Linked DNA regions of Oryzias latipes. The main gene of each other region encodes a partner of the protein of the gene in region 2 in a complex. Links are inferred from orthologs where the notes say so. Each region holds a gene or a part of one and is shown on either strand. Other genes may lie near its edges.

Evidence for each region.
Region 1: the proteins of pex14 (region 2) and pex19 are in contact, whole or in part, in an NMR structure (PDB 2W85), measured with the Homo sapiens proteins. The link is inferred for Oryzias latipes from reciprocal best matches to the Homo sapiens genes PEX14 and PEX19. Residues at the interface, in NP_004556.1 of Homo sapiens: Leu28, Thr31, Ala32, Lys34, Phe35, Asn38, Ser39, Arg40, Val41, Ser44, Thr48, Phe52, Lys56, Leu58; in NP_002848.1 of Homo sapiens: Gln67, Phe70, Phe71, Leu74, Phe75, Ser77.
Region 3: the proteins of pex14 (region 2) and pex5 are in contact, whole or in part, in an NMR structure (PDB 4BXU), measured with the Homo sapiens proteins. The link is inferred for Oryzias latipes from reciprocal best matches to the Homo sapiens genes PEX14 and PEX5. Residues at the interface, in NP_004556.1 of Homo sapiens: Thr31, Phe35, Asn38, Arg40, Val41, Ser44, Pro45, Thr48, Arg49, Phe52, Lys55, Lys56; in NP_001124497.1 of Homo sapiens: Glu59, Leu62, Val63, Glu65, Phe66, Leu67, Gln70.

The regions. Positions count from the first base shown.
Region 1 is NC_019875.2:3,243,835-3,251,549, forward strand, and holds the start of pex19 (peroxisomal biogenesis factor 19), read right to left. Parts: upstream 4,552-7,715; 5' UTR 4,524-4,551; coding exon 4,460-4,523; intron 3,387-4,459; coding exon 3,298-3,386; intron 3,195-3,297; coding exon 3,032-3,194; intron 2,949-3,031; coding exon 2,848-2,948; intron 2,785-2,847; coding exon 2,611-2,784; intron 2,531-2,610; coding exon 2,360-2,530; intron 1,799-2,359; coding exon 1,754-1,798; intron 292-1,753; coding exon 205-291; 3' UTR 1-204. UniProt on the Homo sapiens protein: Necessary for early peroxisomal biogenesis. Acts both as a cytosolic chaperone and as an import receptor for peroxisomal membrane proteins (PMPs).
Region 2 is NC_019865.2:9,512,317-9,519,995, reverse strand, and holds the start of pex14 (peroxisomal membrane protein PEX14), read right to left. Parts: upstream 5,288-7,679; 5' UTR 5,053-5,287; coding exon 5,017-5,052; intron 3,084-5,016; coding exon 3,033-3,083; intron 1-3,032. Other genes in the region: dffa (DNA fragmentation factor subunit alpha), read left to right, coding at 5,427-5,520, 6,722-6,880, 6,964-7,118. UniProt on the Homo sapiens protein: Component of the PEX13-PEX14 docking complex, a translocon channel that specifically mediates the import of peroxisomal cargo proteins bound to PEX5 receptor.
Region 3 is NC_019874.2:20,503,201-20,510,340, reverse strand, and holds part of pex5 (peroxisomal biogenesis factor 5), read right to left. Parts: intron 5,662-7,140; 5' UTR 5,619-5,661; coding exon 5,505-5,618; intron 5,388-5,504; coding exon 5,349-5,387; intron 5,187-5,348; coding exon 5,069-5,186; intron 4,964-5,068; coding exon 4,817-4,963; intron 4,092-4,816; coding exon 4,007-4,091; intron 3,543-4,006; coding exon 3,452-3,542; intron 3,224-3,451; coding exon 3,101-3,223; intron 772-3,100; coding exon 658-771; intron 322-657; coding exon 238-321; intron 1-237.

The DNA.
Region 1 (7,715 bases), on a different chromosome or scaffold from region 2:
TTTTGATTTTTACAGAGAATGTGTGTTGGCATTTAGTGTTGATTTCAGCAGCTCCTCTGCTTGTTTTCACACCCATCTGAAAGGTCAACAGTGTTGACTGTCAGGTCACACCGCTGCCTGACCTCTGGCTCTCCGTCTGTTGTTCTCCGACTCACACAGAGGAACCATTCGGCACCAAATCTCCCGACGAACCGCTCCACCCCCTCACATGATGGAGCACTGATCCGGGGCCCCGGCTCCAAGGCCTCCAGGGAGGTTCAGGGACTCCATGTCAAAGTTTAAGCCTGGAGGCTAAACGGTGAAAAACAAAGGAAAGTTGGAGCAAAGCAGAAACTATTTTGGGAGACATTTCTTTTAAGTCATTGAAAATTTGAACTAAAATTCTATCATTTGCATCCTCTGGAAGTGTAGCCCCCAGTCTTTGGGCTGAAGACTGGTACCGGTCTGTGAGACGGTAGGTACAAAAAAAGAAAAAAAAAAATCTAAATTTCTTCCATTTTATTTATAGTCTGATTTTGACTGAAGTTTTATTTTGGGAAACTACTGGATTCTCTCCACATCCGACTCATTCTTGATGCACGTCAGGTCGTTTGGTTGCACTTTTGAAAATCCACCCACTGCTTTCTTAAAACGGCTGAAACAACTACAATGAAAACCCAGAAGGTAGCAAATTCAGCAAAAAAATTTTGGAAAGTTTCTGAAGTTGGCATCTTTCCCTTTGACAGTTATTGGTTAGGGGGAAATCTGTATCACAGTTTATTGGTTCCTCCAAGAAATCTAGGGCAAAAATGAATTTGAAAGCAGCTGCAGATATTTTACAGAGGATGAAGGTAAACTTTACCCTCAAAAGTTAAGGGAAACTGGAAGCTAAAATAAAATAAAATAAAATCAGACGTCTACTTCAGCCTCGTACTGACAGGTCCATGAAAATATTGTCCAGCATTAACTGTCTGTGGCCTGAAAAAAGGTTGGGGACCTGTGCGCTAAAATATGCATAAAATAAGAGTCCATCAAAATTCTTTAAAACGTGTGGAGTCAGCAAGACAAGAAAGACAAATGAGGGAACATGCAATAAAAATTACCCAAGGTGCACCTGTGCATAAGGTGAGGCGCCGCAAGTTTTAGCACCTATGATCAAACTTCAGTTTATTCTTTAAACTTTCAGACTGAAATAACTTGTCCTTCCTCACAACACGTGTGCTACTGTGGCTCCTTCTGCAGCAGACAGGGACCAGACTTAACGTTCTAGTCTGTCAGTGTTTTAATTTGAAGCAAAAGAACATTTGATTTAACAATGTGACACATTTTAGTGCCATCCATATTGGATTGTTTGGTCTGTGATCAGGCTGGCTTGACATCCTCATCTTGGAGCTTAAGATCCAGCAAAAACATTGGGAGGTTTTGGTAAAATGAGCCTCACAAAAATAGACTATTTGAGCTAATTTGGAAAAATAAATAAATGTATAAGAAATGAATAGTCTTGATCATTTTGGGGACAGTTTGGAGGCTGTTGTGTTCATTAGCAAGCATCTAAAGTCAGATGAAAATGACACACACACACACTCTCATCTATTTAAGTGGCACACTTGGTGGCTGACTAAAACCTTTTTTCTCCCACTGTTCATCAAAGAGCCTCTGCTATTAACAGACACCAGTAAGCATGTTTGAGATACTGCGTGAAATCAGTATTTATAAGAAAATTTAAAAAAAAGTATATATAAAAAAAGAAATGCAAGAAACAAGCCAAACTTACCACATCTCCTGCCAATTCCTTGGGTGGCTGGCCTAGATCCTGCAGCTATAAGGAGATAATTAAACACAAAACAGTTGAGTTCCTGTCCAAAAAACCAAAAACCTTGCATGTTTGAACTAATAAACACAACATTTTTTGTCCATGGATATGCTTAAAGGCGCATTTTTAATAAGCTTACATTAATAACTTAATTTATAGTATAAATTATAATATAATTATAATGTAGTTATTATCTCTGTAAGAAGATAATAACTGGGAAATTTGTGTTTGAAGGGTATTTTTTGAGCTTACAATATCTAAACTTTTAAATGCTGCTTGTTAGCCGTAACGGCAATAACAGTGTGTGTTCAGTGACCTTTTTAAAATCAGTTTTACAGGGAAACAGTTTAGCCATCAACAGTCCCTAAAGATATTAAAAGAGCTTTGCAACCATCACATCCATAAATGATGGACATCCTGCAGCTGGATCGTCGAAAAAGTGATGTGTTGTGACTTTTACTATGATTCAGAATAATGTGGATGATGTCAAAACAGAAAACATAAAAAGCAAATTTAAATAAACAAATCAATTGTAAATATTGTCCCAAAAGAAAAAAGCTGCATCACCTGCTGCATCCGGTCCATGATGCTCTCAAAAGTTCTCTCTTTGTTTTCTACTCCCTGTTCCTCGGCCTCAAAGAGCTTGCAGATATCTCCCATGACTTTGGATTGCTGTTCGTAGCGGCGGTAGTCCTCTGCACTTAAGCTGGGCTTGTTTGCTTGCAGCCACTCTGGGTACTGTGAAGGTGAGACGTCAACGGTCAAAGCTGGAAGAGTGGATTCAGAGTCTGATGGGTTCAGAGGAAACATCTGCAGACCTTAGTGGTGATTTCTTTGAGAGAAGGATACAGCACTTCTTTAGAGAGCAGGTTCTGCATGATGGACTGCATGACGGGGAGGATGTTCCCATCGTCTCCACCCCCTTCCCCACCCTCATCCAACCCAAGACCCTCAAGAGCCTTAACCAGGTCATCTCCAGCTAGACCTGAAGACTGGGTAAAACAAAACAATTGTCATTATTTTCCTTCAAAAGCTTTACACCAATATTCCTTTACGTCTAAGGAGCCAACTTGGAGGTTGTCTGCATTCTTCGCCAGGCCACGGAGGGTATCCTTCAGACAGGAAGTGAACTCCTGCTGGGAAGCTGTGTCTGTCCCTGTTTGGAGCAAACACGCAACTTAGACTGCAAGACCGACACATTCAGTATAACAAAGATTCACAACAAATAACTCCTCTTACCGACTTTGCCTGCTGCCTCTGACAGTTTCTGGAAGTGCTGCAGCAGTTCTGGCTCCTCCTGGGCCAGCTCGGACATGGCCTTCTCCCACTCGTCCCTGGCCTGGGTCGCCATGTCCCCCTCAAAGAGACTCTCAAAGAGTTTGCAGTCCTCAAGCAGGGGGGGCTACAGGCAGAAATGGAAGACTTGTGAAGATCGTACTATTGATGGGGTCTTTCAGTCCAAGCAGAAGGCAGCTGAATCCTAATGAACAGAAGCAGACACAGACCTTCTCTGCACCACTGCTGGCTGAGGAAGAGGCTGCTGCAGCTTCAGGGGCCGGAGGAGAGGAGGCTTTGTCAAAGTCATCCAAAGCGCCTAAAGGAAAAAGACACAGCAGTAGGCATTTATTATCCAAGCAATATATGAAATATTTGATCGATTGCCTTAAAAAAAAAAGCAATACTTTCAGCTCAGTAATTGTTTAGTTTCTGTTTGGATGGTCAGTCTGTTTTACTTTTGATCAGATAATAAACATAAAATGCAGCAGCAGTGAAGAGGTCAAGCTGACAAAATGATAAGTAAGTAGACGCATCTCAATATTTGGTCCATGAATCGATGCATAAAAGGTTCAACTAACTTTGTGGCGACAGGATAAAGTCCAATTCTTTTGACTAAACAAATACAATCTGAATATTTATTATTCATTCAATGAATATTTAAACCTGCATTGTAGGCTGCTTCGTTTCTTAAATAAAAAGGTGTCATATTAATTTATTCATGTATTGTTTTATGTGATGTGAGAAAAATGGTTATCAGAAGAATTTATAACTTCCTGAACAGTTTAACACATTTTTACCCACACTTGTTTGTATCTGTGGTTTTTCAACCAATTCTACTGCGATTCTCTGTGCTTGATCCCTTTTTGATGAACATCTGTATCTTTCTTTTACATCCCTAGTATAAGTTAAGATATCTATCTATCTTATTTGTCAATAATTTCTATTTTAAAACTAGACCTGAACAATAACATTTAAGAATACAGCAGAAGACAAAACTATAAAAGTAACACAAAGCAACCACAGATGACATATTAGAAGTATTTATAAATCAACAAGGAAAAAAACAACAATAAAATGTTCCTGAAAATTTTGACAATATTGTAATATTGAAAAAATAACAACACCTCTTTAACATTTTCTATAAACTATATCTCTATAATCCACTTTTTTTTAAACAATTAATATCCAAAAACATTTGAAAACGGCTTAAACTGGCTTTATTTTGAAGCCCGTGCGAGCTGTCAGTCAGCGATACTTTGGTAACTGTCACTGCTACCGAGCACCTGAAGCTTATACACGGTCATCAGAAGTGTCCAAGCAGCGAAATCTTCCTAGCAACAGACAGACACGTAAAAGGGTGAACCTAATATTCCTTCCTGACGAACTTACTGTCCAGTAACTCGTCCAGTTCTGCGTCTACTCCACCGGACACCTCTTCTCCTCCGGACGCCATAATGCTAAGACAGCTTTGTCTCACAAAATTGACGTTCTGGCTATAAAAAACGTCGCACATACTCTACGTCACAAGCCCATACCGAAATCTGGCACCACCTGGTGGCGTGAGTAGGCATAACAGCTTTTCTCTGCGGATCACATGCAGGAGGATCAACATGTGACGCTTTGTCCCTCATTTTCGTGACCACCGACCGTTTCATCAACTTAAAAACGTAACAATCAAAAGTTCAGTGGCACAGTTTTATGCTCTGCAACTTAAGTGAGTCTTTTTCGGAAATATTTGTCTTCAAAATGTGCTTGAAGTAAAAAAAATATATATCTATACACCTTTTTAAAAAAGAGATTTTAATGTAATCTGTATATTAAGTTCTTTTTAGCATTTAGCAATAAATGGGTTTATTGGCACTCTCAAAATTTTAAATTAGCATAGAAAACTGTCTTATTTTTAAACTATTGCTGTCATGAAACTACAAAGAGGCTTTGGGAGCTTGACCACTCCTCCAAGATGCAAACGTCAGATAAATATTGGCAAAATGATGCTTAAAGGTTTAATCTACCGTTAGAACTGTTTTTTTATTTAATAAATTTAAATCATATATTCTTATCTTCAGCTGTCCTACAGTTCTTAAACGTATATAGTTGCAAGTAAAACTGCAACAGCAGCAAGAGGACCTCAGTTGATACAGGATGTATTTTATTTTGAAAAGAACTTGCTTTTCTGCTGTCAAAAGTTATCTTTAGAAAAATATAGGACTGGTATGATTCTGTCAATATTAATACCTGAAACATTATATAAATAATGTTAAAATACATTTGATCAATGAATGGTTTAATAGTCACACAGTAGTTATCTAAACATTAAAGTGGGACGTTACGGCTCCTGCTTGGTTTTGGACATTAAAGCATTAAAGGGTGCAGACAGGTGTGATTCCAAACACTGCAACATGGTTTGGCAGCACAACAGTTGGAAGTCAGTCTGCAGCACACGAACATTCCAATCAGTAGTAGTGAAAAGTGTCATGCTGATCATGAGGCACCTATCTGATGCTTGGAGCAGACACTGACCCCTGTAGGAGAGTCCATGCTCTCAGCTGTCTGGCAGCACCGGGAGGCACCAAAAAAAAAAAAAGATGCGATAGAAGATTTTTCTTATAGGTACAGAAGATTTGCCACATTTTTTGTGGGTACAACCAGAGCATGGCGTTTAAAACCACCATTTAACTATTATGCCTGAGAAGAGTTGTTGCACCAAAGTATGAATCTCCTAAATACAATTTTTAACATTTTGTTTTGAGTCAAGTTCATTATTCAGTATTAAACCTTTTTTTTTCTCCTTTCAAAGATTACATAATAATAATAAATAAAGGAAAGAATTAATAAGTTTATTTAAAAAGTACATTTAACATTTGTTGCTAAAGTTCACCACTGAAATAAAAACATTTGGCTTTTGGATTGTAAAGCCTTTTCTTTTTCTTATTAAAAATACTAAAAAGGCTGTGACAGTTACCACACTGACACACTCTTGAACATCTGGACACAAATGCACATCGCTTTGAATTATAAATCTTTTTTTTTTTGTTGAATTTACTCCAAAGTTGAAAGGAAAGTAATTGATAAACGTTTTTTTAAATTATTACTAACATTAAGCCGAGCGGCCAATGAAAGTTCTGGTGTGTTCTCACAGGTTCATTTGTCTTCCTTGTGGATTCATTAACATTGTTACCTTTAAAATATATGTGATAAGTAATTGCATTTTATTATTTTGGCAAACATTATTCAAATCAACGTTGCCACACCTGGCACACCACTTTTGTCACATGAACTTTTTGTGTTTCCCCCTCTTTCAGAAAATGAAACTCTTTCCTTTTGCAGTTCTTTTATTTTTTGGGATCTTTAGCAGCATTTCTAGTGGGATGCAGATCTGTGAGCTGATGAAGGAAAATCTGTCAGTCTGATGAGGCAAACACTTCAAACAGAACATTTCTCACTGCATTCAGTTCTCTGTATCGCACACAGTCTGCAGTTTCTGCAGTATCAAGAAAAGAGGAGAAACTCCCTCATGCTGGGTGTGGGCAGCAGAGGTCCAGCCTGGAACACAATGTGGGCGGAGCTTAGTCACACATAAAGAATGGTGCAGATACTTGAGGCCTAATTTGGTTTTCTGGGCGGGGCTCTTCTCCTTGGGACCACTCTAGAGCAGCCAAGGGGGTGAGGATTTACAGTCTGTGCCTAACTTCCACTGCACATCTTGTAGGAGAGAGAACAGCTGCAGCCGAGTTTCAGAAAGGTAAGGAGGCGTCAGGGTTGGAGAGAAATGCAAAGGAAGGAATTTCTGTTTTCATTTGGAACCACATGTCTGAATAATTGTATGTTTTATGATCATTTTTTACCTTTTGAAATGTTTTGCGTGCCTGACGAGTGGACTAAAAGGGTTGCCGCATCGACAGAGATCAGCATTGAAAACATCTTAACCCTTGTACTATCCTATGGGGGCAAGATGACCATTGACGTGTTCTCCCTACCATGACAAAGGTGGATAAAGGTGGAAAGATTTCATGTAATCCATGGACACCAGTGAAGATCACAAATCATTGAAGAAAAAAGGTTCAGCGCACTGTCTAGTGGGTCTAGATGACCCAACTCCCAATGTTAAAGTGCCTAGGATAGCACAAGGGTTAAGCACACGCATGTGGATCTGTCACGAAGTTCTGTTTTTAGTTTTGAGTCTTTTGTGGCGGCGCAGGGCGTGGCAGGCGGCACACCCACCTTCACCATCAATGATTGAAGCTCTACACGAGTTTTTACAGTGTGACACTCATGGCACATTTAGGAGGAGGATTAACTCTCTTTTAGCCTGGATTTGTACCAAAACCTGCCCGGAGGGTTCTGGCTCTGATGCAAATGTAAACCAGAAAGTTCTGTTTGAACAGAACCAGGCAGAACTCTTCCTCATTGTTTAAGAAGACCTGTCTGCCTCATTCAAACCAGAGATGGCGTGTGTCCAGATGGTCCGAACCTGTTTCTGACAGGTGTTTTTGAGCAAAATAGGTATTTGGGAAAAACTTAAACCTTAGTAAGCCAGCGGTGACTCACACGCACAAGGATAGCGTTCCAACACTGAAGGTTTTGTTTTTGACCCTCAGATTTGACTCTAAGTGAATTAGAAGCATAATTGTGTAAGTGATGCTGT
Region 2 (7,679 bases):
GGTAAGTGTAACAAAATGAAAAAGAAAACCATAGGAAGTTCCTAAAAACATGCTCCTAAATTACTGAGAATTTAGGGGGTAAAAAAGTCCTAAAAAAAATAAAATAAAAGGATACTAGAAACTTGGTCTTTGGTCCATCCATTCCTGGGACATGTGAGACTTCCCTGGTGAAGGCACAGACTCCTTGACACGCGACATATTGAAATTAATGTACACAGTTTTGTTCGGGTTAAAATCAGCCGGCAATAGTCCTCTAGTAACTAAGTCAATAACTTTAGCCTTTTCACTACTCTTTAGGAATGAATGAATGATCTTGACTTATATGGCATTTTTATTTGCCACCGGAACCAAAGTGCTTTACACTACAGTGCAATAAAAAGATGAAAAGAGAAAATCCAATTTTTCAAGAAAATTAAGAACAAGAAACTAAAATAGCAACATTAGATAACAAAATTCAATAAAATACATGAAAGGCAGAAAAAAATATTAAATAAAATATAACATATATAAAAAATACTTCACCAACTACTGAGTATTAAGCCCTTCTAAAAAGACTAAGCTGGAGTTTTAAACTGTTTTTCAGTGCAGCTCTGAGGAAAAACTGTTTTCAAATGTTAGTGGAGAAAAATACATATGGAAGAAATTCAAACTATTTAGGAAAAAAATTGACCAACAGATTTAGAAAATCAAAATGTAAGAAAAAGTGCTATTATGTGGGTAAAAGTCACTGAGCAGAAATCAGATCCAGTTTTATTTTAAAATTATAGAAACTTTTAAAAAAGTTAAAAAGGGTTACACTTCAAAAACAACAAATTAAGACAATTTTTGGTCAATAATGAATAGGAATACAGCGATTCACTTTTCCCACAATTCCGTTCAAACCTCAATTTTTGGATCACGGCTTGTAGAAAAGTCCTTTTTAATTTGCTAATAAGAAGGACAATGAAATAACACATTTCAGGTGGTTCTTTCTAAGCCTGGTGTGATGTAATGTAACAATAAATAATAAATCCTTCTATAATCTAACCCAATTGTTGGAGACTTTCATCGTACCGCTGTGCAGTAGAGATGCAAAGATTCCCCACAATTTGGTTTAATGCTGGAAAAATTGTGGCATCCCTAATAATTACTACATTAGTAAGAACTGTTTAATTTCAATGAAAGAAAAAATTCTTCATCGAGTTACAAACCAGAACTCATTTTTAAGTTGTTTACTTACAAGTTCTTCTAGTTACTAGTCTGCAAAAATATTCAAGTGAGGCACGACAAGCAGGTCTGCTCGATGTTTGAGTGGATTCAAAACGGACTGATCAGTGTGGATGGAGGGAAGACACGGTGGTGTAAACACAGCACTGGTGGCTGCAGAACACACACTGCAGGTCCACAGCGGGCCTCTTGCGCTGCTGTGGACAATGAGCCGGACCTTCCTGCCACAAAGGAGAGTTCATGACATGCAGTGTGCCATGGCCGGCTAATCTGGGCGAGGTGAGTCACAACCTGTTAGCATGACTGGTGTCCCCCAGTCTGACACGCTGGTTTGTCTGACACAGCCGTGTGCGCGTAGACACTACACAAATATGTGCGTGCGTGCGCGAGCGCATACTCCATTGTCCCTCACGACCCTCCCAGCACTCCTGCTTCTCTCATCCAGATAAAATCCTTTCAGACACAAATTTCAATTATTCACCTCATCCAAATAATGCCATGTGACAAGAATTATCCCTACTGTAATAATCCACTTAACTGGGAAAGAGCAGCTCATCAAAAAGAGAGGAGAGAAGAAGGGGATGGAAGTGAGGGTGGTGCTGGGACTTGTCAAGCGGTCTCGAATCAAGACCCTCGTAACAAGAATTTCTTCCTTTTTTTGAGGCCGTCTTCAAGTGCGCTGGGATGACGAAATTGAAGTAAATTGAAAGAAAGCCTGGGAGAATGCTCCCACAATCAATAAAGCCAGGATTAAATTAGCCTTGGCATGAAGGGATGATGGGGGGAAGATGAAGAGTGAATGGTAGTGAATGACATTGAGACATGCAGGCTGAACAATACAGCGCTACTCCAACCTGTGCACATACAAGGACAATGAACGTAGCTGGGATGAATGCTCAAACCCTTTAATGACCAACGCTAGGCCTCCCTTACATGTTATTTCAAATAATAAGACTGATCTTCACTGCACTTAAATCGTATATTTTCCTGGTATTCACAAATTAAACTGCTTAGTCAGCTTACAGAGGAGGTCATCAAGTAAGAGGCAACTGGTTAGTGGCATGTCTCCCTGCGCCATTTTTCTTAAAGTCATAATCTACGGCCTTAGGAAACTACCGTGTGCTGCAGCCGCTCAGGTCAACGTGAACACAGCTCACTGTACCTCAATGACACGGTTTATGAAGCTCTTCATGTAAAACCCAATCATTTTGATTCACAGCATTTCTTTGGTTTCTAGGACTTCTTGTAAAGACAAGAAACACACCAAACTAAGAAAAGAGACTGCTCTAAGAGTTTCTGAGCTTTAAGCAAGTCTATGAACAATAAATGCATGAATTTGTTATAAATAAACCACAGCAAACCACCCCTAAAGCCAAACAAAGATAACTTTTTTGCTATAAATGATCAATACTAAATAGCTGATTTTCAGACAGAGGAGATTGGATCTTTATTATTTAAAATTAAGGAGAATAAAGTAATTTTGTGCTATAATTCAATAAAACAATAGGATTTTACAATAAAAATCTGATGGTTAAAAGTCTTTGATTAAATTTTTAAAAATGTTTCATTCTCGAAACAATTCTAAAAATTTAACTCAACAATTTAATAAAAGAATAAACACTAATGCAGAATTTTTTCCCAAGATTGCTATTTATGTATAAATAATTTTTGATTTAAATAAACTTAAATTCTCAGAAATACAATAAATATCTTTGTAAGCACAATAAACAGGCAAAAACCAGCAGCCAAACTTGTATTTCAATTAAGCACGCATGCTATAACTGTCTCTGTCTCATTTGTCAAATAGTTTTTCCTAAACTTCTTACCAAAGCTTCTCTGGGGCGAACTGCTCCATCTTCACCACGTGGAGGACCAGCCTGTAAGACAAACACTTGTGTTAGAGAGCCATCTAGTGGATAACAAGAGTACTGTCACCTTATTTATTAGAAAGTAACCAAGAAACTGAAATATCTACTTTTCAATTGATAGGACCCCCAACAACCACTTTATATATGGTTAGCTATTTATATAAAAAATAATATACATTTTAAAAACTGGCTGTAATAATTTTTCTTGCATTTAATGTATATTCTATGTCCTTCCTTTTTATGTTGGTCTTTTGACTTTTTGTTGTTATAACAAATATACATCTTTTTTTTTCGGGCACGTGTGTTGATGAAAAGTGCTATCTAAATAAAGTTATTAATTAAATATTGTTAAAATCCAACAATGAAATGAGGGAAAAAATATAAGTTTACGGCAGTTCGGGAAGACTAAGTTTTGTTCTTTAGCCTCATACTAAAGCAGATCAATGTCGCATGGGTTTTTAAATGTTTATGCAGAAGTAATTACACATATAACCCTTGTGCTATCCTATGGGGTCCAGATGACCCCATCCTTACATTGATGTGTTCTCCCTACCATGACAAAGGTGGATAAAGGTGAAGAGGATTTCATGGAATCCATGGACACCAGTGAAAATCACAAATCATTGAAGAAAAAAGGTTTAGTGCACTGACTTGTGGGGTCTAGATGACCCAACTCCCAATGTTAAAGTGCCTAGGATAGCACAAGGGATAAATGCATTCTCTTCAGTTCCAAAAATCATCACGTCTTTAAATGTTTCCATCTGCAATCAGCTAAATGCATTCAGTAGACTTTTACCTAAAAAGGACCCCAAAAGTAAATACATAATTTAAGGGGTTCTTTTTTTTTTTAATCATATCAAATTTAAGCTAGAGTTTGATCCTTAAAAATTATACCAGTGAAAGTTTAGGTCTGAATAGAAGACATCAAAAATACAGGAAATATTCCATAATTTCAACAACAGTTACTAATAATTTAACTAAAAAAGCAGTTTTTTTTTCAATAGTTACTGGCTTTCCAACCCCTCTTGATGAATCCTCATGGCAAAGTTAAAGGTTTGGAGTTTTTCTTATCATATTTCTCAGGGCAAACAGACCATTTTAGGTTGAAGATAACAAGATAAAGTATACAAATAGGGTGTAAACACAATAATACTGTGCCCTCCAAGTAAAAAAATAAATAAAAAAGGACAAGGTAGAATGTGACAAAAACATCTTTATCAGTTATTTTGGGCTTATTACAGGACCTGGACACTGAAAAGCTCCAAATCATAGTAATGTGCATTAGAGGGAACCAATGACACTGTTTGGTGTTTAATGACTTAATATAGAAGACTACTGTGAAATTTAAAGTGCAATGATAGAATGTGCGAATATTTTTTACCCAGACAAGTGTGGTGACTTTTGGAAACTTTTAAGACTGCTCTGGGATCGACTTTTACGTTAAAGTGAGTTGGAGAGCACCATGATTACTGAATTTGTGAAAACATAAAGGTAGCATTTCAGATATGGTGAAGCTTAGCCGTATAAAGCATTGTAACTGCAGTAAATTATTTTTGATCCATGTTCGTGGAACATTAAATGTCGAATATAAAATCCCGAGGTTTTTTTTTTTTTTGTGACCTTTCCCTGTGTCAACAATTATAATCCATGACTTTGACAGACCCAAACCCTCACCGCCATATAGAAAGCTGTAGCACGTGGTCAGTTATTAAATGCATAATTGTTGCTGAACCCCAGAATGCCTTTGACCTCCCATGTGTCGAAGACCACTTTAAAATAACACAACCAGTTAGCATGCTAACTAGCAAACAAGCTACCTCTCTTCGGCTGTGAAACGTTTGCTTAAAAGGTGTACGGAAACCAGCCACAAAATAGCAACTCAAACAAATGGTGCATAAATGTTTTCGGACGTCAAATGCTAACTGGCTTGGTGTATAGAGACCTGTGTTGGCGTGTCAGCTTGGTCGATGGATGCCATCTTCCTATAGTTCTCTGGGATATCCACGCTCGATTGCTTTTCCTGTTCCGTCCATTCGAAACATCAAAGTTCTTTAAAGCGTTTTATTTAGTTTAGTTGGGATGCACTTTCATCGGAACAAAGTACAGTGATGTATTTTTCCCCTCTCAGTTGCGAAATACGTTGAGCGGATTACGAAACAGAGTGGAGATAGGTAGACTAAACCTTTCCCCATTTCTCAAACAATAAACAACAATTCCCACAATTCATAGCGCCCTTCGGCGGTTATTTCCGTGTATGAAGAAGTAAAGGTGGCTGAGAGCTCAAAGCGGGTTTTCCCATTCTCTGTAGATTCCTTTACCGAATAATATTATCCTTTCAGAATAAATTTAAGAATGACTGATGGAAAGGCGTGTAAAGTGTGCAATTTCACCCGGCAAAAATCCTACGGAGTGTCTGCACCTTCTTTAGATGACTTGAAGAAAAAAGGTAAGGGAGGACCGAGAAGGAGGACTGTGGGAACTAGTATGAGATTATCTGACATTATATGCTTTTAATCAAAATAAGAAGCCGTTCATGTATTCGTGCAGTCGCAGATTTTAAGCATTTATTTTTATTTATCTGCTTCGCGCCTAAATTGAGAGAAAATCTCCAACCGCTGCACTGACTGTCACATTTAAAACTGCTTAAGCCGCAAAACAACGGTGATAATACTAGGCTATTCTTAATGCTTATGAATGTATTTGACTATAATTATATTATCTGTTCAATGTTAACCCCTACATGGCTAACATGAAAAGCCTGCTGCTGTTCATTCCTGAGATGCGAGTCACCAGGCGTTTCCCTGATCTGCTTTTTGCAAGAATATACTTTAAATATTCATTATCTGGAATCAAAACAATGTTTCACAACCCCCCCCCCCCCCCCCCACACACACACACACACACACAAACAACAACAACAACAACTAAAACCAGCAATTATAGTTTATGCATTTTTAAAATTATTATTATTATTAAATATTTCTTTTGTGCACTTATACATGTTCCATAATTGTGATATATTCCTTTTAATCGGAATGCTTATTAAAGGTGTTTTGCAGATTTGTTATGAAAGCTGTTTGAGAATTATTTAACAATATGTATTTTTAATAACAGTGAAAACGTTTTTATTTTTTCCAGCTATACTGGAACAAAAACTTTTTCAAAGAGGGCCAGATTTGGTGAGGTGAAAATGTGTGAGGGCCATCCAATTGGCCTATAAAAACCAGTTTGATCCAATTATTCACTGTTAAAGGCTAACTGTAAACTTGTCAGTTTCTATCATTGAACAATGAAATAACACAAATATTATGTTAGTCAGAAGTGGTTTTGATGACAGAAACAAATAAATCTCTTCATGTCTACAGGTTGTTGCATAGGTCCACGGTTTATAACGCAATCTAGCCAATCACAATCAAGAAACTGTAGTTCTTAGAAAGTGCTGTGGGCCGCATATTATTGAGGTTGCCGGCTGGTGGAAATTGGTTGCATTTGACCCACGGGCCGGACTTTGGACATGCCTGTCCTTACTGTAGTGTTTTTATCATTGGTATTTCCCATAGGTGTCAGACTTTTCTGTGGACCTTAGGATGAAGTATGTTCACTTGATGCATGTTAAGTTGGTAACCTGTCCTCTCTTCCGGCTCCAGGATCCGAGTATCTTGGCTTCAGCCCCGGTGACCCAGTCAAAGTGGTCCTGGAGAATGACGGGACAATAGTAGAAGATCAAACCTACTTCTTGTGTTTGCCCTCAAATACAAAGTTTATGTTATTGCATGACAAGGAAACATGGTCTCCAGCTCGCAAGAGTAAGAATCTCAGAGTCCATATTGATGATCATTATCCGTCTGCAGGATTTCTACATGTTGTGCTTTGGTACTCTTTGTTTTAGTCGATGGTGGCACCGCTTGGATGCAGAGGGAATCGGTTATGCTGGAGATGGACACTGTTGACACCGGCAGTAGCTTAGCACCCTGGTTGGACCTGGCTCAGCAGCTAAAACAAGACCTCACCAGCATCATTCTTATGTCGGAGGCCGATTTACAGGTCCTACCTTGTTCTTATTTCAGTGATAGAACAGCACAAAACTGCCTGGTATATGAGAAAATAAAACTTAAAAATAACAGTTTAGCGGTTTCCATAAAGATTTTTGGAATATTGTCAGTGACCATAAGGTTTGAAAGTTCTCTGACTTGCAAAACAAAATAAAACCATATTTTCTATGCCACCGTAAACTTACTATTGGTCATTATGGCCAAGAAACTCCACTTTGGTGTTAGATGCTTCTAAGCTTTAGCACCAAAAGTCTTCTGTTTTAGTCAAAGTCAATTTGAAGAACTCAAAATTCCATAACTTTTTTGGACTTTATATCTGTCTCCCCATTCAAATAAACAATTTAGTCTTCTGCACACCGCTTCCTGGTACTTAACATTTAGGTAAATATGCATAGACATATACACGTGTGAGGCGAAGAAACTCCTTAAATAATCAGAAATAATCTTTCTAACCACAGACTTTTGAATTCCAAAATGTCAGCTTTACAACACAATTATGTGCTTCTGCTTCCCACAAGCAAGCCACAATTGTAGAATATTCTACATTTTTCGT
Region 3 (7,140 bases), on a different chromosome or scaffold from region 2:
CTACAGTGCAGACACTATTTGACTTTTGTTATCCACAGAAAAGCGTGGATGGCTTGAACGACCGTGTCAAGAAATAACTTCAACTAAAACAGGATTATTTTGCTTTAATAAGGACATATTAAGATAAAATTCTTGATTGGATTTCTCCTCCTTCCTCTAAATTTATAACAAAAAGAGCTAAATCTCCTGAGTATCGGACAAAAGCTTTGGGTTTGGACTTAAAAAAGTTTGGCTCACCTCCACTGCAGCTTTGGCTTGATGAAAATCCGGCCCTGTTGTTGTGAACTCATCTACCCATGCTTCAGCCGACTCCTCTGAAACCTGTAGAACAATAAAACCATTGGCAGCGGATGACAGAAATCTACTAGCTAAGAAATCTGATGAGAATGGAGATCTGGGATGCTTCAAGCAGAAACATAACAACACAAGTATTGCAAAAGCAGCAGGAATGACAAAAGGGGAAAAAAGCCTTTTTCCTACTCCTTGCTTATTAAAAAAAAAAAGCCTGAAAAGGCTAAATGAATGTCGGCTGGGCTTATCTAAGAGTCTAAATGACAGATAAAAATCTATCAAAAAATACTAGAAGCAAAGCTCTAATAAAAAACAGGCACAACTACCCCTATATCCCTAGTGCTGCCGCCACTGCAAAGGTCCTACCTGCCTGATGACTTTGGCCCACTGCTCTGCTTGTTTAGCTTTAACTTTCTCAATCTTCTGACTCATCTCCTGCCGTTCCAAGGGAAGACTTCCTCCCCCCGTCTCCACCAGGAACTATGACGTGAGGTGGAAGGGTTTGGCGAAGGCACATGGGGCAATGATTTGAGGGTAAGGAAGCGGTGGGTAGGGAAAATTTTTGGGGGTGGTTGGTGGAACAGAGTTGTGTGGTTTTTTTTTTGTCTATGTTACATGACAAATGTAAAACATGAAAGGGGATGGCAAGCCGAAATGAGCAAAGCACATGACAATGTTGCATGATTATGAATTAAACTTAATCTAACTGGGATAGTCTATTTTTCTTTGGGTTGAGAAGGCAACATTTCAGCAAATAAGACGTGCTAAACAGCAGGAAGATAGTCTATCCTGTCAAATCAGCAGATAATGAATGAATAAATGAAACCAGCAGACACTAAAAACAAAGTTGGACACTAAACCCTGCAGTACCATGCTATAATAATGTGATTCACCTTTTGGGGTTTTGCTGATTTTTTAAAAACGTTTTTTCATTTTTACAGCACATTGTGCTCTGCATCCTGATTGGCTGTAGACCACTATCAATCAATCTGCCTCATGCTGCATCTCCTTTACAGAAAGCGTTCAGCTTGACTAGTTTACATCAATCTTTGCTTGCTACCAGCGTAAAATCGGAAGTGCCAGACTTTTTTGTTTTTGTTTTACAAAGGTTTGAATCTTTGAGAGTTAAAACAAGAGAGAATGTGTGAGAATGTTAAAGTTTGTAGTGAGGTTTTACAGCCTTAAACACACAACACAGTGTTAATATTAAAAAGTAAAAATCCTGTAGATTCTGTTTATCGCAGGTTATTTGTAGAAAGTAGCCCCTGCAATAAACGAGGGTACTGTACTGAAAACTACCAGTTTGTCGATAAAACGTTAACTAAAAATGAAGTTACATTGTAACAAATACATTCTCAATGACTTATAAACTTCTTTTTAACAGCTCTTGTCTCACAGCAAGAAGGCTCATGTCTTAAAAGGTCCTGGCTGGGGGACCTGAAACAGAATCAATGGGGGACATTTCTGTGTGGAGTTGGTTTTCCGGCTTCCTCCCCATCCAAAAACATGCTTCATAGGTTAATAGGTTACTCTAAATTGTCCCTAGGTGTGAATGTGAGAGTGCATGGGTGTGTGATTTCTGGCCCTGAGACAGACTGGCGACCTGTTTAAAGTGTACCCTGCCTTTGCCCACGAGTTAGCCGGGATAAGCTCTGGCAGCCCCGTCACCCAGAAAGGGATAAAATGGGTTTAGAAGATGAATGAAAAGTCACCTTTTTATTCTTAAAAAAAGTGTAAGATGCAAAACATGATCGCAAAAATGAAAAATGTCATGTCAGCACCTCTTTTCAATCAGCGTAGCCAGTTGACTTCACTTCTACATTAGCTTTATAATTACTGTATTCATTTTATTTATGTTTTTGTTGGTGGCCAAGGATGTCTGTATTTTTGGGGAAAAAAGTTGACTTCTAAAATGTGACATTCACTTAAAGACCCACTCCAATGGAAATCGTGTTTTTAACATTTTCTAGCGGCATGATTTTTCTATGGAAGGCATATATTAAGTACGTTAAGCTTAAAATTGAATTTGAGGATTTCTTTATTGAAATTGTTGTGAATCAGATGCAGACAAAATAATGCAGTTGGAAGAAGACCTTATTTGTGACGTAGAAAATAACCAAGCTCCCTCCTCTGAGCTCTACATCAACGGGGAGGGGAAGAGGGGGCGGGGCTGCTTTGTGGAAACTCCTGCTGCTCTCCAGAAACTATGTCCTGGAAAACGGCAGGTTTCTTGATTTTGGCTAAAAACAGCATAATCATAGTTAAAAGCTATTGAGAAGACTTTGATCAATAGATGATTGGAAAGGGACTTTTTTATTTCTGAGCTGCAGTAAATTTAAATACTGATGGAACACTGAGCTTTTGCTACCAACAAGCTGAACAGCTCAGATGTTCGCCAACAATGTGTATGGTTAGATTCAAAGCCAAAGCTGCTCTGGCAAAATCTTCAATCACTGTAAAGCTTTTTAAATTCCCTGTATGAAAGTCGTATTGCCTCGAGTCACCATTTTAACACCTTAAACTTATTATTAAACCTAAACTAAATTTCTAAGAGGAAAAGCTAATCGTGCCGAGTTCTTCTTTTCAAAACAAATTGGATCTTCAGCACTGCGCAGCCTTGAGATTCCTACTACTAGGAAACTGGTGGCTGCTTTTGATTACCTTCATGGAAAATGGTGCACTGCATCAGATACTGGGGAGGTGAGTCACACTGCATAGCCTATGCAACATGAACCAATTTCATCCCCCCCCCCAAAACATACAGCTGTTAGTTGTAGCAATACCATCCTCAGAGGCCAGTGACTCCTACCTGGTTGAGGTTGGAGGCCCAGTTCTGAGCCTCCTCAGCCTGAGCTTTATCTGTGAGCTGTTTGTCTGCTCTGCTCTCCACTGTCACACTTCCCTCGCCAATCTGCCTAACGAATTTCAGGAACTACACAACAATGAGGGGAACAATAAAAAAAAGTAAAGAAAAAAAACTTTATATCACAAAATTGTTACTGAGCAGCGGTTTTAATTGGGGATAATTGGTTGTTTTTACATGACTCTTCTAATGGTTATAAAGCCAACACTTAATACTAAAGAACAAGAAACAATAAGGCGACAGATATGAAGGGAAAAAATACATGACTGATTCATGACAGAGCAGGACAGCACTCACCTCTGTGTTTTTTAACTTGGGGTCATCGACCTTTGCAACAAGTTCATTTGCCGTCTGCCTCAGCTCTTCTCCTGACTGATACTCTTTAGTCCTGCCAGACAAATACAAAATATACCACAAGATTGTAATAGAAGCAGAGCAACTGTTCTGTTATTTTCTCTTTATGTAGGTTGGAGATAATACTCAGGTTTGCTGAAGGCTGTGCTTTCAATAGACGTCAGTAGAAGCCAAGGCCGATATTCTATACATTAGCTTTAGAATTCAGACGGCCCTATATGTATGCATGGACAGCTCTGGGTACAATTAGCCTCAATGCATAAAGTTAGAAGAGGATAAAAGTAAATGGGTGGACATAAAACGACACATTCGCTTAAGAAAGCGTTCAAGGTTTAAATCTGCATTCAGATCTGTTATCGTTTGTCTCCCTTGGAGCTTTTCCTCTTTTGTTCCTGTAGGGGTGTCAGGCTGCCACTGCGCACTCACTGATGCTTGCCTGAAGGACTTTTTCCTGCAAACACTTTATTATCCACACGCTTTGCATGGCCCACCTCTCACCATTCACTTTCCTTGTCTCCAAGGTCTCCGAGCCACAGTTTCTCCTCAGACTGCTCTAGATACTCCTCTGCCCAGCGTCCAGGGTCTGGAGAGGAATACATTAAACAGAATAAATTAAAGTCCCCCTATGACAATTAAAAAAATGTTGTGTTTTGATTATAATTCTGAAGTTTTGAATCAAAATCCCACAACCTAAATGTTGTAAAAAGGCATATTTCATGTTTATCTGAAGCCTCCGTTTCCAAAATCTCCTCTACATGGGTGTGGCTGTTGGTGCTGAGCTGAGTAGCCCCACCTTTGATCAAGGGGCCAAACGCGGTTCGGCCACTTTGATTTTTTTCATACATGTGGTCAAAAACAAAATCCAGCCTTGGATGCACTTAAAATATGTGCAGGCAATGCAGCAATGCACCATCTTCTCTTCTCACGCACCTGAGCTTGTGCACGCCTGGCGGGGCAGATCAGGGAGCTTCTGCAATGCGCTTGCACTACTAGGCCATTGTGACATCACAACGCCTCATTCATATAAACAGCGCGTCTTTGCGTCAGTTTAATTGCCACTGATTTAAAAGGAGAAATACTCAGAAATGAAAAAAAGAAATTATTTTTTATTACATTTGTTCTCTTTCATAAGAAAAATGTCAGATATACATAAAAAAACAACAACATGATTTTTAATGGAGGGGGACTTTAAAGACATTTGTAATGTACATATTGTAGCTTATAAACATTAAAATGTGATAACAGTTAGATCCGCTAAATCAGTGAGACAACTGCAGTAAATCATAGACCGGAAGAAACTCCAGTTACCTGCAGCCTCAGCAATAAATTCTCTGGTCCAATCAGAATCTGCTGAATCACCAAGAGAGGTGAGACCCGGTGTGGTGGCAGAATCCGAACTGGAGAGGAACTCGGCAGCCCAATCACCAGAGAGGGCCAGTGCGGCCACATCAGGAGCTAAAACAAGAAGTGAGGATATCATTTTCTGAAATGTGCTGAGATCACATGGCAGAGAGAAAAATTGTATAAAATGTATGAATAAATTGGAAGAATGATGTGCACCTCTCTGTGGAGCTTGTCTGTAGCTTTGCTGATCGATCTGCTGCATTTCCTCTAATAGCTGACCCATGTCAAATGTGGTGGGGGGGCGTGGCGGGGCCTGAAGGAACTCATTCACCAACTGGAGCAAAAACCAAAAAAAAAAAGAAAAAACATTTCACAGCTGTAAGTATTTGAAAGATAGCTTTCATGCATAAAATATAACAATTCTAAAAACTTGAGGTGAATATTTCAAATATTTAAAAGGATATTTTAGTATAAAGGGACAGAAAACTAAACAGACCTCTTGTTCGGTTGCAATTTCAATAGGAGTTGGTGGAATCTGAGAAAAAGCGGTAAAGAAAACAGAACCGGTTCATTAAATGCATTTTATTCTGCTGTAATGGAATAAAAAAAACAGCTAATGTTACATTAGTTAGTAATGCCCAACATTACTCACTGCAGGGCTGGTGCGGTGCTGCCATGTCCCCTCTTCTTTGGTCATGTGACTGGCCAACTTCATGAGGGGATTGGCTCCACCACATTCGGCCTCCACCAATTCTCGCATCGCCATGGCAACGGAAGGAAGAGGCAAACCCCACTAGAGTACGTAAAAGCTAAAAAAAATAAATAAATAAGGATTGCGAAATACATGCATTTCTGTTTCACAACAAAAAATGAAAGCAACAGATTAAATAGATTTATGAACAAAGGACTGTTGTGCAAATGACAATAAAATGAATTAAAAATGACTGATTACTTTAACTTAGACTTTGACCAAAAAATGAAAAGGACTGGAAACAACTTTTATTGGCAAACTGAAACTCTAAATACTGCCAAAAACTTACCAAGACACTTTTTCACAAATATATTTATTTATGATTAAGATTAAGAATTAAATTATTTATTAGTGTCCGTGAACGTAATCATATTTGAATGAATAACTATCCTATGTTTGAAATATCTTTGTATAGATTTACATTTCTGTTGTTCGTCTTGTTTTTGCATTCTTTTTGCTCTGATTGCTTGAAATAAACCATTTCCAAATCCAAATCCAAATATTTAGAGCTATGACATATTGTATCCCAAACTATTCGTATCTGAAATCTGAACAAAAAAAATCAAATGTGTATTTTGTCACCAAACATAGTAAGATATCTGAGAGGAAATGCAGCATTATTAATATTCTTTAAAATCTGAGCTTCAAAGTATTATCTTGAATCACTTCCTGGTTTCTGTCAAGTGTTTTATTATAAATTAAACCTGCCAGTTGCTGCCATCTTACGAATACAATCACAAACATGCAATATTGCTCTTTCTTTTTACATTTTAGCTCCACATAAAAGGTCCAGAAAACGAATCATTTAACAGCTGACGAGCCAGATGAAGAGAAAGCCTGAGGGTTTAAACATTGCACAAAAAGCCCCATGCCTTGTCAACAAATTTAAAACTCCATCTGTCGCATTTTCATGCCAGTTAATGGCTTTTAGTGAACTGTTAATAATGAGGACACGGATTGTAAGCCTTGCAGCGCACGGGGATGTTTACCACACATTTACATAGTGAATCAAAATTGATTTGGGGCAATTTGTGCTTTCCCTGGGTTACAGTGTTCACAATGAAGAAAAGCTTTTATTCTGTATGGATGAGTGCATTCAGACTGCTGTGAGGTCTTAAAGCCTCAGGTCTGAAGGTCTGAGCTGTGTGGGGACAGACTCGTGTAAAAATGTTACAATCGCCTCTAGAATAGATAGATCAGTCACGATGTAAACATACACACAAGGATCTAATTATGAAAATAATAACAGTAAAAAATAAAAAACAAGGAATACAAGCTTGCATCAACTAAATAAAATAAAAAACAACTAATCACGTAAAGTATACATACATACATAAGAGAATTGCAATCTTTTTTTCTGTCCAACTGTCATCTCCCCAAAATAAATCTCATCGTTTTTAGTGTTGGCATAAGCATCCTAGTGAGTCACACCTCTGACCGCTGCATAATGATTAGGATCGAAGTAGTAAGAGGATTAACAAAGATATTAATAAAATATTGTCACAGACAACACATGCTGCCTTAGTTAGACACACGT